Macaca fascicularis: one gene and its partners. Each later gene encodes a partner of the first gene's protein in a complex. Links are inferred from orthologs where the notes say so. Each region holds a gene or a part of one and is shown in the gene's direction. Other genes may lie near its edges. The genes, in order: E3 SUMO-protein ligase RanBP2, NUP205 and NUP160.

Region 1 (2,799 bases):
ATTGTGTTCTTTAAGATACTGAGTTATGGACCCTGTGACATTTTTTCTTTCTTATGAGTTTTTAGCAGAAGGTGTAGGGTTCTTTAAGACAGTGATTCAGCAAGTGATGAAAAGTTGAGAGGTGTTTCTTTCCTCTAAGATAGTGGGGACTTGGTCATCTAAATTGAGGTGTGGGATGGAGAAGTTTCTAGTTCTCACCTTCTTGCAGGTATGCAAGAGAGAGACCATCATTGTTCCCCCACACAGAAGTAGAATGTTTAACAGTCTAATACCCTTTGGGCAGTTGAAGTCAGTGAGGTTCCCCCAAGGCTGCTATCCACCAGCCCAGCCAAGAAATCTACATTCCAGCACTAGCTTCTTCAGGAAGAAGTAGAGATGCAGAAATTATAAACATGTTTAGGCTATTGTGGCTAATTTGGAAGTAGCAGGTTTGGCCTGCTGAGCTAAGTTTACAAAATTTCAAGGTGAATACTTGAAATTTTAGAAGTAGATAAAGAACTTAACTTCTTTACTGGAAGTCCTTGTGTAGTTTAGTATTATGAAGTTTATCCAAGGCAGTGACAGTGTTATCTTTGTATCTCTAAGCATAAACAATAACAAATGTATTCTGTACTCCCAGTATGAAGTTTTTTTTTTTTTTTTTTTTTTTTTTTTGGTGACAGTCTTGCTCTGTCACCCAGGCTGGAATACAATGGCATGATCTCTGCTCATTGCAACCTCTGCCACCAAAGTTCAAGTGATTCTCCTGCCTTAGCCTCCTGAGTAGCTGGGATTACAGGCACCCGCCACCACGCCCGGCTAATTTTTTTTTTTGTAAGACAGAGTCTTGCTGTTGCCCAGGCTGGAGTGCAGTGGGGTGATATTGGATCACTGCAACCTCTGCCTCTCAAGTTCAAGCGATTCTTCTGCCCCAGCCCTCCTGAGTAGCTGGGATTACAGTCACCCATAACCACACACCGCTAACTTTTTTTTTTTTTTTTTTTTTTAAAGACAGAATCTTGCTCTGTTGCCTAGGCTGGACTGCAGTGGGGCGATCTCGGCTCACTGCAACCTCCACCTCTCAGGTTCAAGCGATTCTTCTGCTTCAGCCTCCCAAGTAGCTAGGACCACAGGCGCATACCACCACGCCTGGCTTTTTTTTTTTTTTTTTGAGACGGAGTTTCCCTCTTACTGCCCAGGCTAGAGTACAGTGGCGCCATCTCGGCTCACTGCAACCTCTGCGTCCTGGGTTCAAGTGATTCTCCTGCCTTAGCCTCCTGAGTAGCTGGGATTACAGGCATGTGCCACCATGCCCAGCTAATTTTGTATTTTTAGTAGAGATGGGGTTTCTCCATGTTGGTCAGATTGGTTTCGAACTCCTGACTTCAGGCGATCCGCTCACCTTCGCCTCCCAAAGTGCTGGGATTACAGGCATGAGCCACTGCGCCCGGCCTAATTTTTGTATTATTAGAAGAGATAGGGTTTCACCATGTTGGCTATGGTTTGGTCTGGAACCCCTGACCTCAGATGACCTTGGCCTCCCAAAGTGCTGGGATTACAGGTGTGAGGAATTTACTAGAATAATATAGTTTTAAACATTTAAAATTGATGTACATATTACATCATCGGGAATTAGAAGGATTGATAAAATAAGAGGGGGATGAAAAATGTAAAAAATAGATACCAGTGTTTAAATATCTTGATTTATTCATCAGATAAAAATTTCCAATGGGCAAATACTGGAGCGGCTGTGTTTGGAACACAGTCAGTTGGAACCCAGTCAATTGGTAAAGTTGGTGAAGATGAAGATGGTAGTGATGAAGAAGTAGTTCATAATGAAGATATCCATTTTGAACCAATAGTGTCACTACCAGAGGTAAATGTTAAGGGATTAAACTTTTACTAATAACTTATTTTTCATTTTTAAGTTTAAAACTTACCCTGGCTTGATCTGTCAGGATATCATTGTTTGCATTTAAGAATGTTTACAGTTTGAAATGGAAGCTCTATTTATTAGATGTCTAGCCTTTAAGTATAAATTATCTTTTTGCAGTTTTTACATAAATATTGGTTTATAAATTCTATATGTAATTGTTGGGAAGAAATAATTTTTTCGTATGTTTCTAGAATATCATGTTTGTTTTTATAACATGATTCTGGGGAAAAATTAACCTCATACGAAAGTCCTTTCAATAAACATTAATCTGTGTTTTTTGGACAAGAACATTGTTCTAGGAAAATTATTTTGTCATTTTTAACCTCAGTATCTTATATATTTCTCTTCAGTAGCAGACACTTTTGAAACCTCTGTTCCTATAAAGAAAAGCATTTAATTTCCAAAGGGAAAATGAATACTATATAAAAGAAAATATTTAATGACAAATCAGGTCTTTACTCCCTCAGCCACATCAGATGTATTCCTAGCCCTAAGATATATAACCAATTATTATATTAACAAATTCTCTTTGTCATCACAAAGAAAATGCCTTAAAAGAATTTGGATCTTTGAAATTTGTCATGGAATTTATTATAAGCAGCAGCTTATAGAGTATTTCATCTCCTATTATAGGTAGAAGTAAAATCTGGAGAAGAAGATGAAGAAATTTTGTTTAAAGAGAGAGCCAAACTTTATAGATGGGATCGGGATGTCAGTCAGTGGAAGGAACGTGGTGTTGGAGATATAAAGATTCTTTGGCATACAATGAAGAACTATTACCGGATCCTTATGAGAAGAGACCAGGTTTTTAAAGTGTGTGCAAACCACGTTATTACTAAAACAATGGAATTAAAGCCCTTAAATGTTTCAAATAATGCTTTAGT
Region 2 (3,657 bases), on another chromosome or scaffold:
GCACTATCTTTGAAAATCAACTGAATATGATGGTTTGCCCTTCCTTTCGATGTCCCAAGTAAAATCAAATTACTTTTTGTTATTTCTAGTACGTCGAAAAATTCTAAATATTCTTGACTCGATTGACTTCAGTCAGGAGATCCCTGAGCCTTTGCAGTTGGATTTTTTTGATCGGACCCAGATTGAACAAGTTATTGCTAACTGTGAACACAAGAATTTACGGGGACAGACAGTCTGCAATGTCAAGGTGAGGGTTGCTTTAAAGTACATATCTGCAGTGTCAAGTGGCTCAGACCTTAAGTCATCAGAAACAAATAGAACCATACAGGTTTTCTTTCTGATAGAGACATTGGTTTACTAGTTTATAGGAAGGACTATGGTTTTTGTAAAATATCCCTGAAATAAATCTTAATGTATCACACTAACTTCTTGAAAAGGGATACTTAATATTTTGGCCTGGAAAGTGGACGTTGCTCTAGTTAGATTATATATAAAGGTATCTGACGCCTTTCCCTTTAGGGCAGTTTATGATAATTGCTAGGTGTTATTGTTCTACCAGTGTCTGAAATGTCTTATTTTTCTTTCTTTTCCTAATTATCCAGCTTCTTCATAGGGTTCTTGTAGCTGAAGTAAATGCCCTTCAGGGTATGGCAGCCATAGGACAGAGACCTCTACTCATGGAGGTAAGCTCTATTGAGTATGTGTTCGTTTCAACCTTTTAACTACTTAGGTTGCTGGTGAAAAGACTAAAATAGTATATTAACGTGTAGTTTGCTAATTAGTAAGCTACCTAAAAATTAAACATTTAGGGAGTCTTTCACTTTTGATTTTATAACTTTTATAAGCTGAACTATCTGGTATGCCGAAATAAATAACACCTTTTCTGCTAGACTAGTTAAGGATTTGCAGCCTGACCATATTTCGTATTATACCTCACTTGGTCCCCGTCAGTGAGAGAGGAGGGTCATTTGTCATCACAAGTGGAAAGTTACAGGTAAGAGGTCAGATGGGAAGAACCACATGCATGGAGACATAGCTGGCCAGGCCAAAGCAAGAGGCAAAGAAATAAAAGAGATGTCAGGGAAACATGCCATTGAACTTGGAGTTTAAATAATTCTAGTGCTCTAGAGTAAGCAAGTATAAGTAGATAGGTACAAGGAGAAAGAAGATAGTGTCAAAAAATACAAATTTATCTATGCCACCTCTGTCCCCTACCTTTCATGCACATACACACACACACATACACACCTTATATATTAGTATTTTTATAGCCCTGGCTACTGAAATAATATGAAAAGATATCTGCTTCGTGGCATGCATGTAGTAGGTTTCCAAATAGATATTTTCTGAGTAACTGACAGATAACTGACCTTATTTGCCTGTTTAACCTTGTGATTCCATTCCTGTGGCTTTAGGAAATCAGCACTGTACTTCAGTATGTGGTAGGAAGAAATAAATTGCTGCAGTGTCTTCATGCAAAACGTCACGCTCTGGAGTCGTGGAGGCAACTGGTAGAAATTATACTGACAGCTTGTCCCCAGGACCTCATTCAGGCAGAGGATCGACAACTGATTATTCGTGATATTTTACAAGACGTGCATGATAAGGTGACATACTTCCTAAATTACTTTATACTGCTGAACAAATATGTATCATTTAAACGAATAAATTTTGGCACCCCAATTGTTTTCCATTTTTGATTAGGAATAAAATAGAATTGCACAATACCAACATTAAGACTTTCCTTGAGAAAGGGATTAATTCTGTACAGTAGTGACTGTCAACCAGAGTGTGTGTCCGAATTATCTAGGGAGCTTTGTAAAAGTTAACATGGACAGAGCCCACCCCAGACCTACTGAATGTAATGGTGAGACCATTTATGTGAATTTCAAAAAGAAAACCTCCTTAGGGAATTCTGATAGGAATCCCTTCTGGTTAAGAACACCCATTACCTAGCATCATATTTAAATTTCTCTGTATATATTAGATTTTTTTCTTTCTTTTCTTTTTTTTTTTTTGACTAATTTCTGTATTCCATTCTTATATTGTTGTCACAGTTGACAAACTAAATATATATAAAACTTGTTAATGGGCTGTATGCAGTGATTCATGCCTGTAATCCCAGAACTTTGAGAGGCCAAGGTGGGAGGATCGCTTGAGCCCAGGAGTTTGAGACCAATCTCCTGAGGTGGGAAGACCACCTGAGCCCAAGAGGTCAAGGCCGAAGTGAGCTGAGATTATGCTACTGCACTCCAGCCTGGGTGACAGAGCGGGACCCTATCTTAAAAAAAAAAAAAAAAAAAAAAAAGCTGTGAAACTTGTTAATGATTATAGCTGAAAGCAGGATTCTCACTCTGATTTGCCCTTGTCCTTTAAGATACTGGATGATGAAGCAGCGCAGGAGTTAATGCCTGTAGTCGCTGGGGCAGTGTTCACACTGACTGCTCACCTGAGCCAGGCCGTCCTCACCGAACAGAAGCAAACATCAGTCTTGGGACCAGCAGATGCCCATTACGCTTTTATGCTTGATAGTTCCTTCACCTCACCTCCTCCAGAAGAGAACCCATTAGTGGGTTTTGCTTCTATTGGAGATTCTTCACTTTACATCATATTGAAGAAACTGTTAGACTTCATTTTGAAGACAGGTTTTTTTCATCTAAAATTTCTATAAATTCTATCCATTGTATTTGTTTTAACTTTAATTGAGAAAAGATTTTCATTTGACATCTTCCTAATCTCCCTAGGTGGTGGATTCCAGCGAGTGAGGACTCACTTGTATGGCTCTCTGCTTTATTACTTACAGATTGCCCAGAGACCTGATGAGCCAGACACCTTAGAAGCAGGTAGAATGAGATCAATTCCTAATCTTTTCTGGATTGGGAGATGGTTACTTTAAACTGAAAAAAAAAAAAATCACTTCTCCATCTTTTGACTAATCACAACTGTAATAAATGAGTGTTGGTGTCATTTTTTAAAGCATTTACTCAAAAGTTGAGGGAGAATGTTTAGTTTTTAAGAATTATGAAGTAATACTTGAATACTGCTTTTAAAAAAACCTTCAAATAATACTTTAGGTTTATATACTTCTGTAACTCCCTCACTTGCCTCAAGTCCCACTGAGCAGTATGCTCTACATAGAATGGCCCAACGTCTTTCTTTCCTTTGTGCTACATCAGAGTACATATCTAGTTGATTCTTTTAAAATATCTCTTCCTGGCGTGGTGGCTCACGCCTGTAATCCTAGCACTTTGGGAGACCGAGGCCGGTGGATCACCTGAGGTCAGGAGTTCGAGACCAGCTTGGCCAACATCATGAAGCCCCATCTCTACTAAAAATCAAAAAATTAGCGGCCACGGTGGCTGGCATCTGTAATCCCAGCTACTCGGGAGGCTGAAGCAGGAGAATCGCTTGAACCCAGGAGGCGGAGGTTGCCCAGATCATGCCACTGCACTCCAGCCTGGGCAACAAGAGTGAAACTCCATCTCAAAAAAAAAAAAAAAAAAAAGCCACAAAAAGTCTTTGTTATTCCATGATATGGATGAAACACTTATTTAGCCATTTTCCTTATTCATAGGCATTTCAATTGTTTCTAAATTTTTATTACAAAAATGCTACATCAATTTTTTTTATATGCCTATATTTCTCAGAAAGGATGCT
Region 3 (3,657 bases), on another chromosome or scaffold:
AGGCATGCGCCACCACGCCTGGCTAATTTTGTATTTTTAGTGGAGATGGAGTTTCGCCATGTTGGCCAGGCTGGTCTCAAACTCCTGGCCTCAGGTGATCCGCCCGTCTTGGCCTCCAAAAGCCCAGGATCCAATTTAATATATATATTTAGTTACTGTGTCTCTTTTACTTACCCTCAAACTGTTATCTGCGTTTGTCTTTCATGAGAATGACATTATTTGAAGACTATGCTTGTTTTTTGTTTTTTGGGGTTTTTTTGTTTTTGTTTTTTTTGAGGCAGGATCTCGCTGTGTCACCCAGGCTGGAGTACAGTGGCACTCTTAAGGCTCACTGCAGCCTCAACCTCCCAGGCTCAAGTGATCCTCCCACCTCAGCTTCCCTAGTAGCTAGAACTAAAGCTACCTGCCACCACACTTGGCTAATTTTTTTTTTTTTTTTTTAAGAGATGGGGTTTCATCATGATATCCAGGCTGGTCTTGAACTCCTGGGGTCAAGTGATCCTCCTACCTCAGCCTCCCAAACTGCTGGGATCACAGGTGTGAGCCACTGTGCCCTGCCAAGACTACACCTATTGTTTTATAGAGTGTATTGCAACTTGGGTTTGTCTCGTGTTTCCTCGTGATAAGATGCACATCTCAATTATTTTATACCTTTAAACTTTTACTGAAAAAAATGTAACTGGAAAATTTGTTTTCCCAGGGGTACCTGTCTTTCCTTATTCCCTCCTCCTTAGTGGATCATTTATATCTCCTGCCTTATGAGAACCTTTTGACAGAAGATGAGACAACCATATCTGATGGTAATAGTAATTGTTATGTCCATATTTAATCCCCTTCCTACATAAACCCTATGCTTCGTTTCACATGGATACAAAAAATATTGATTGCCACACCTGTCTTGGTCACTTTACCACACCACAAATATTTTAATGAACACTTAAGGACCAAAGCATCTCTGAGACCTCAGATAGATATCTTGTCATTTAATTATTAACATTTTAATGTAGTAGCAATCAATAGATAGTCATTGGCTTAAGACATAAATTAACTTTCTCTTATTTGTAGATGTGGATATCGCTCGGGATGTCATATGTCTTATAAAATGCCTCCGGCTGATTGGAGAGTCAGTAACTATGGATATGTCAGTTATTATGGAAATGAGTTGTTATAACCTACAGTCTCCGGAAAAGGCTGCAGAGCAGATTCTGGAAGATTTGATCACTATTGATGTGTAAGGAGAATTAGGGTAAAGTGCATTTCCTAATGGAAATTCAGCATTTTTAGCTGCGAAGTTGGGATTTTAATGTATGTTCCAGAGTGTACAAAGTAGTAGCTTAAAGTCAAACTGATGTGCCATGATTCTAAATACATATTTCTACTTTTAACAGAAAATTTAACACATGACTTGAAGTCTGGAAATAGACTTGTAAAATATGCTTTAACAATTAACTGAGCTAAAAATTCTAAAAAACAAAAATATTCTTCTCACATTTGTTTTGTGTGTTGTTCATGAAAAACTGAGGAAATTTGCTATGTATAGGGACTGTATCTTGTATGCCAGAGTGATTATCTTCATTCCTTTATCTGGTTCTCTTGTTTCATAATGTATTTAGCTTATAGGACATATAGAACTTGTCTTACGTATTCTCGGTAGTAATAAGAGTTTTGTAATTGTCCTTATAGAGAAAATGTAATGGAGGATATTTGTAGTAAACTGCAAGAGATTAGGAACCCAATCCATGCAATTGGACTCCTTATACGGGAAATGGATTATGAAACAGAAGTGGAAATGGAAAAGGGATTCAATCCAGGTAAATGACAGAACAACAAATGTGCCTCTTTGATTAAAACAATGATGCATTCAACTCCACTTTTCTTCTTTTTACAGCTCAGCCTTTGAATATTAGAATGAATCTTTCCCAGCTCTATGGTAGTAGCACAGCAGGGTATATTGTGTGCAGAGGTGTGCATAAAATCGCCAGTACTCGTTTCCTGATCTGCCGAGATCTTTTGATCTTACAGCAGCTGTTAATGAGGCTTGGAGATGCCGTAAGTACTGCTTGAGGGAAAACTTGTAAAATCTAAAACCTGGTATAAGCCTACAAGCACTTAGGAGCAAAATGTCAGCCCTACTAGCACAGATACTTTTGTCTTGGTTTACTGCTTTAGTCCCCCAAGCTTGGCCTTACGAGGTGCTCTATCAATATTTTTGAATTAAGAATGAATAAGCATTGTAATCCTTGTGAGATTATAGATTAAGAGCATGTATGGAGGGGATTGTGGGGAGGGAGAACATCAGAAAGAATAGCTGATGGATCCTGGGCCTAATACTTAGGTGATGGGTTGATGTGCAGCAAGCCATCATGGCACACGTTTACCTACGTGACAAACCTGCACATCCTGCATGTGTACCCTGGAACTTAAGAGTTGATTAAAAGAAACATATATGAAGCAGATTGCTTTACTCTTAACCTTTGTATGTGTAGTAGTGGAAAATTATCCCAGGTTGGCTCTCCCAAAATGTAGTTTTATTAGTAACTATGAATGTGGTAAGAGTAATCTTTAGTATGGAGGAAGAAAAAGAAAACTTTTTTTTTTCCTCTCTCTCTTTTTTTTTTTTTGAGACAGTCTTTCTTTGTCGCCCAGGCTGGAGTGCGGTGGCCTTATCTCAGCTCAAGCAATTCTCCTGCCTCAGCTTCCTGAGTAGCTGGGATTACAGGTGTGTGCCACTGCACCCGGCTAATTTTTGTATTTTTAGTAGAAACGGGGTTTTGCCATTTTGGCCAGGCTGGTCTTGAACTCCTGACCTCAGGTGATCCACCCACCTCGGCCTCCCAAAGTGCTGGGATTACAGGCGTGAGCCACCTCACCTGGCCTAAGAACTCTCTACAGTGCAAGGCTTACCCTAAACACAGTTTTGAGATGCAAGTTTATCTTTGTGGTCCTCCTAACTCCATTCTGTGCTTTCTTTTTCATTCTGTTCTTCTTAGACCACCAGACTCTTGTTACTAATATATAGTCCTAATCACCCACCCTACTGAATGTCCCATGCTAAGAAATTATTTTTCTGCCCACAGTCAGACGTCCTATTTTTTTTCTAAGTCAGTAATATCATTTGAGCCTATCAAGGAAGCAGTCTAGTTAAACCAATTCATATTAATGTGTAAATAGCCAAAAGTCCTTTGGGGCTCCCATTTTAATTCCGACTTAAAATGTATAAATGTACTTATACATTTTAAGTCAGAATGTATTAATTCAGGCCAGGCACAGTGGCTGACACCTGTAATCCTAGCACTTTGGGAGGCTAAGGTGGGCAGATCACTGGAGGCCAGGAGTTCAAGACCAGCCTGGCCAACATGGCAAACTCCATCTCTATTAAAACAAAAAAGTTAACAGGGTCTAGTGGCACACTCCTGTAATCCCAGCCATTTAGGAGGCTAAGGCATGAGAATTACTTGAACGCAAGAGGCAGAGTTTGCAGTGAGGCGAGATTGCACCACTGCACTCCAGCTTGGGTGACAGAGCGAGACTGTCTCCAAATAAAAGAAAGAACTTATTAACCTAGATACATTGCTTATGGTAGAATTTCAAGCAAGAGTAAGAAAAAGGCCAGATGTAGTGCCTGTAATCCCAGCACTTTGGGAGGCCGAAGTGGGC

What was found.
Region 2: E3 SUMO-protein ligase RanBP2 (region 1) and NUP205 share a complex: the UniProt entries of both Homo sapiens proteins name them as parts of the nuclear pore complex. The link is inferred for Macaca fascicularis from reciprocal best matches to the Homo sapiens genes RANBP2 and NUP205.
Region 3: E3 SUMO-protein ligase RanBP2 (region 1) and NUP160 share a complex: the UniProt entries of both Homo sapiens proteins name them as parts of the nuclear pore complex. The link is inferred for Macaca fascicularis from reciprocal best matches to the Homo sapiens genes RANBP2 and NUP160.

What each region holds. Positions count from the first base shown.
Region 1 is NC_088387.1:16,275,563-16,278,361, forward strand, and holds part of E3 SUMO-protein ligase RanBP2, read left to right. Parts: intron 1-1,694; coding exon 1,695-1,855; intron 1,856-2,548; coding exon 2,549-2,799. UniProt on the Homo sapiens protein: E3 SUMO-protein ligase which facilitates SUMO1 and SUMO2 conjugation by UBE2I. Involved in transport factor (Ran-GTP, karyopherin)-mediated protein import via the F-G repeat-containing domain which acts as a docking site for substrates.
Region 2 is NC_088377.1:177,292,093-177,295,749, forward strand, and holds part of NUP205 (nuclear pore complex protein Nup205), read left to right. Parts: intron 1-89; coding exon 90-247; intron 248-602; coding exon 603-683; intron 684-1,415; coding exon 1,416-1,607; intron 1,608-2,377; coding exon 2,378-2,645; intron 2,646-2,744; coding exon 2,745-2,843; intron 2,844-3,657. UniProt on the Homo sapiens protein: Plays a role in the nuclear pore complex (NPC) assembly and/or maintenance. May anchor NUP62 and other nucleoporins, but not NUP153 and TPR, to the NPC.
Region 3 is NC_088388.1:18,019,233-18,022,889, forward strand, and holds part of NUP160 (nuclear pore complex protein Nup160), read left to right. Parts: intron 1-700; coding exon 701-800; intron 801-1,065; coding exon 1,066-1,231; exon of another isoform or gene 1,232-1,246; intron 1,247-1,683; coding exon 1,684-1,811; intron 1,812-1,888; coding exon 1,889-2,049; intron 2,050-3,657. UniProt on the Homo sapiens protein: Functions as a component of the nuclear pore complex (NPC). Involved in poly(A)+ RNA transport.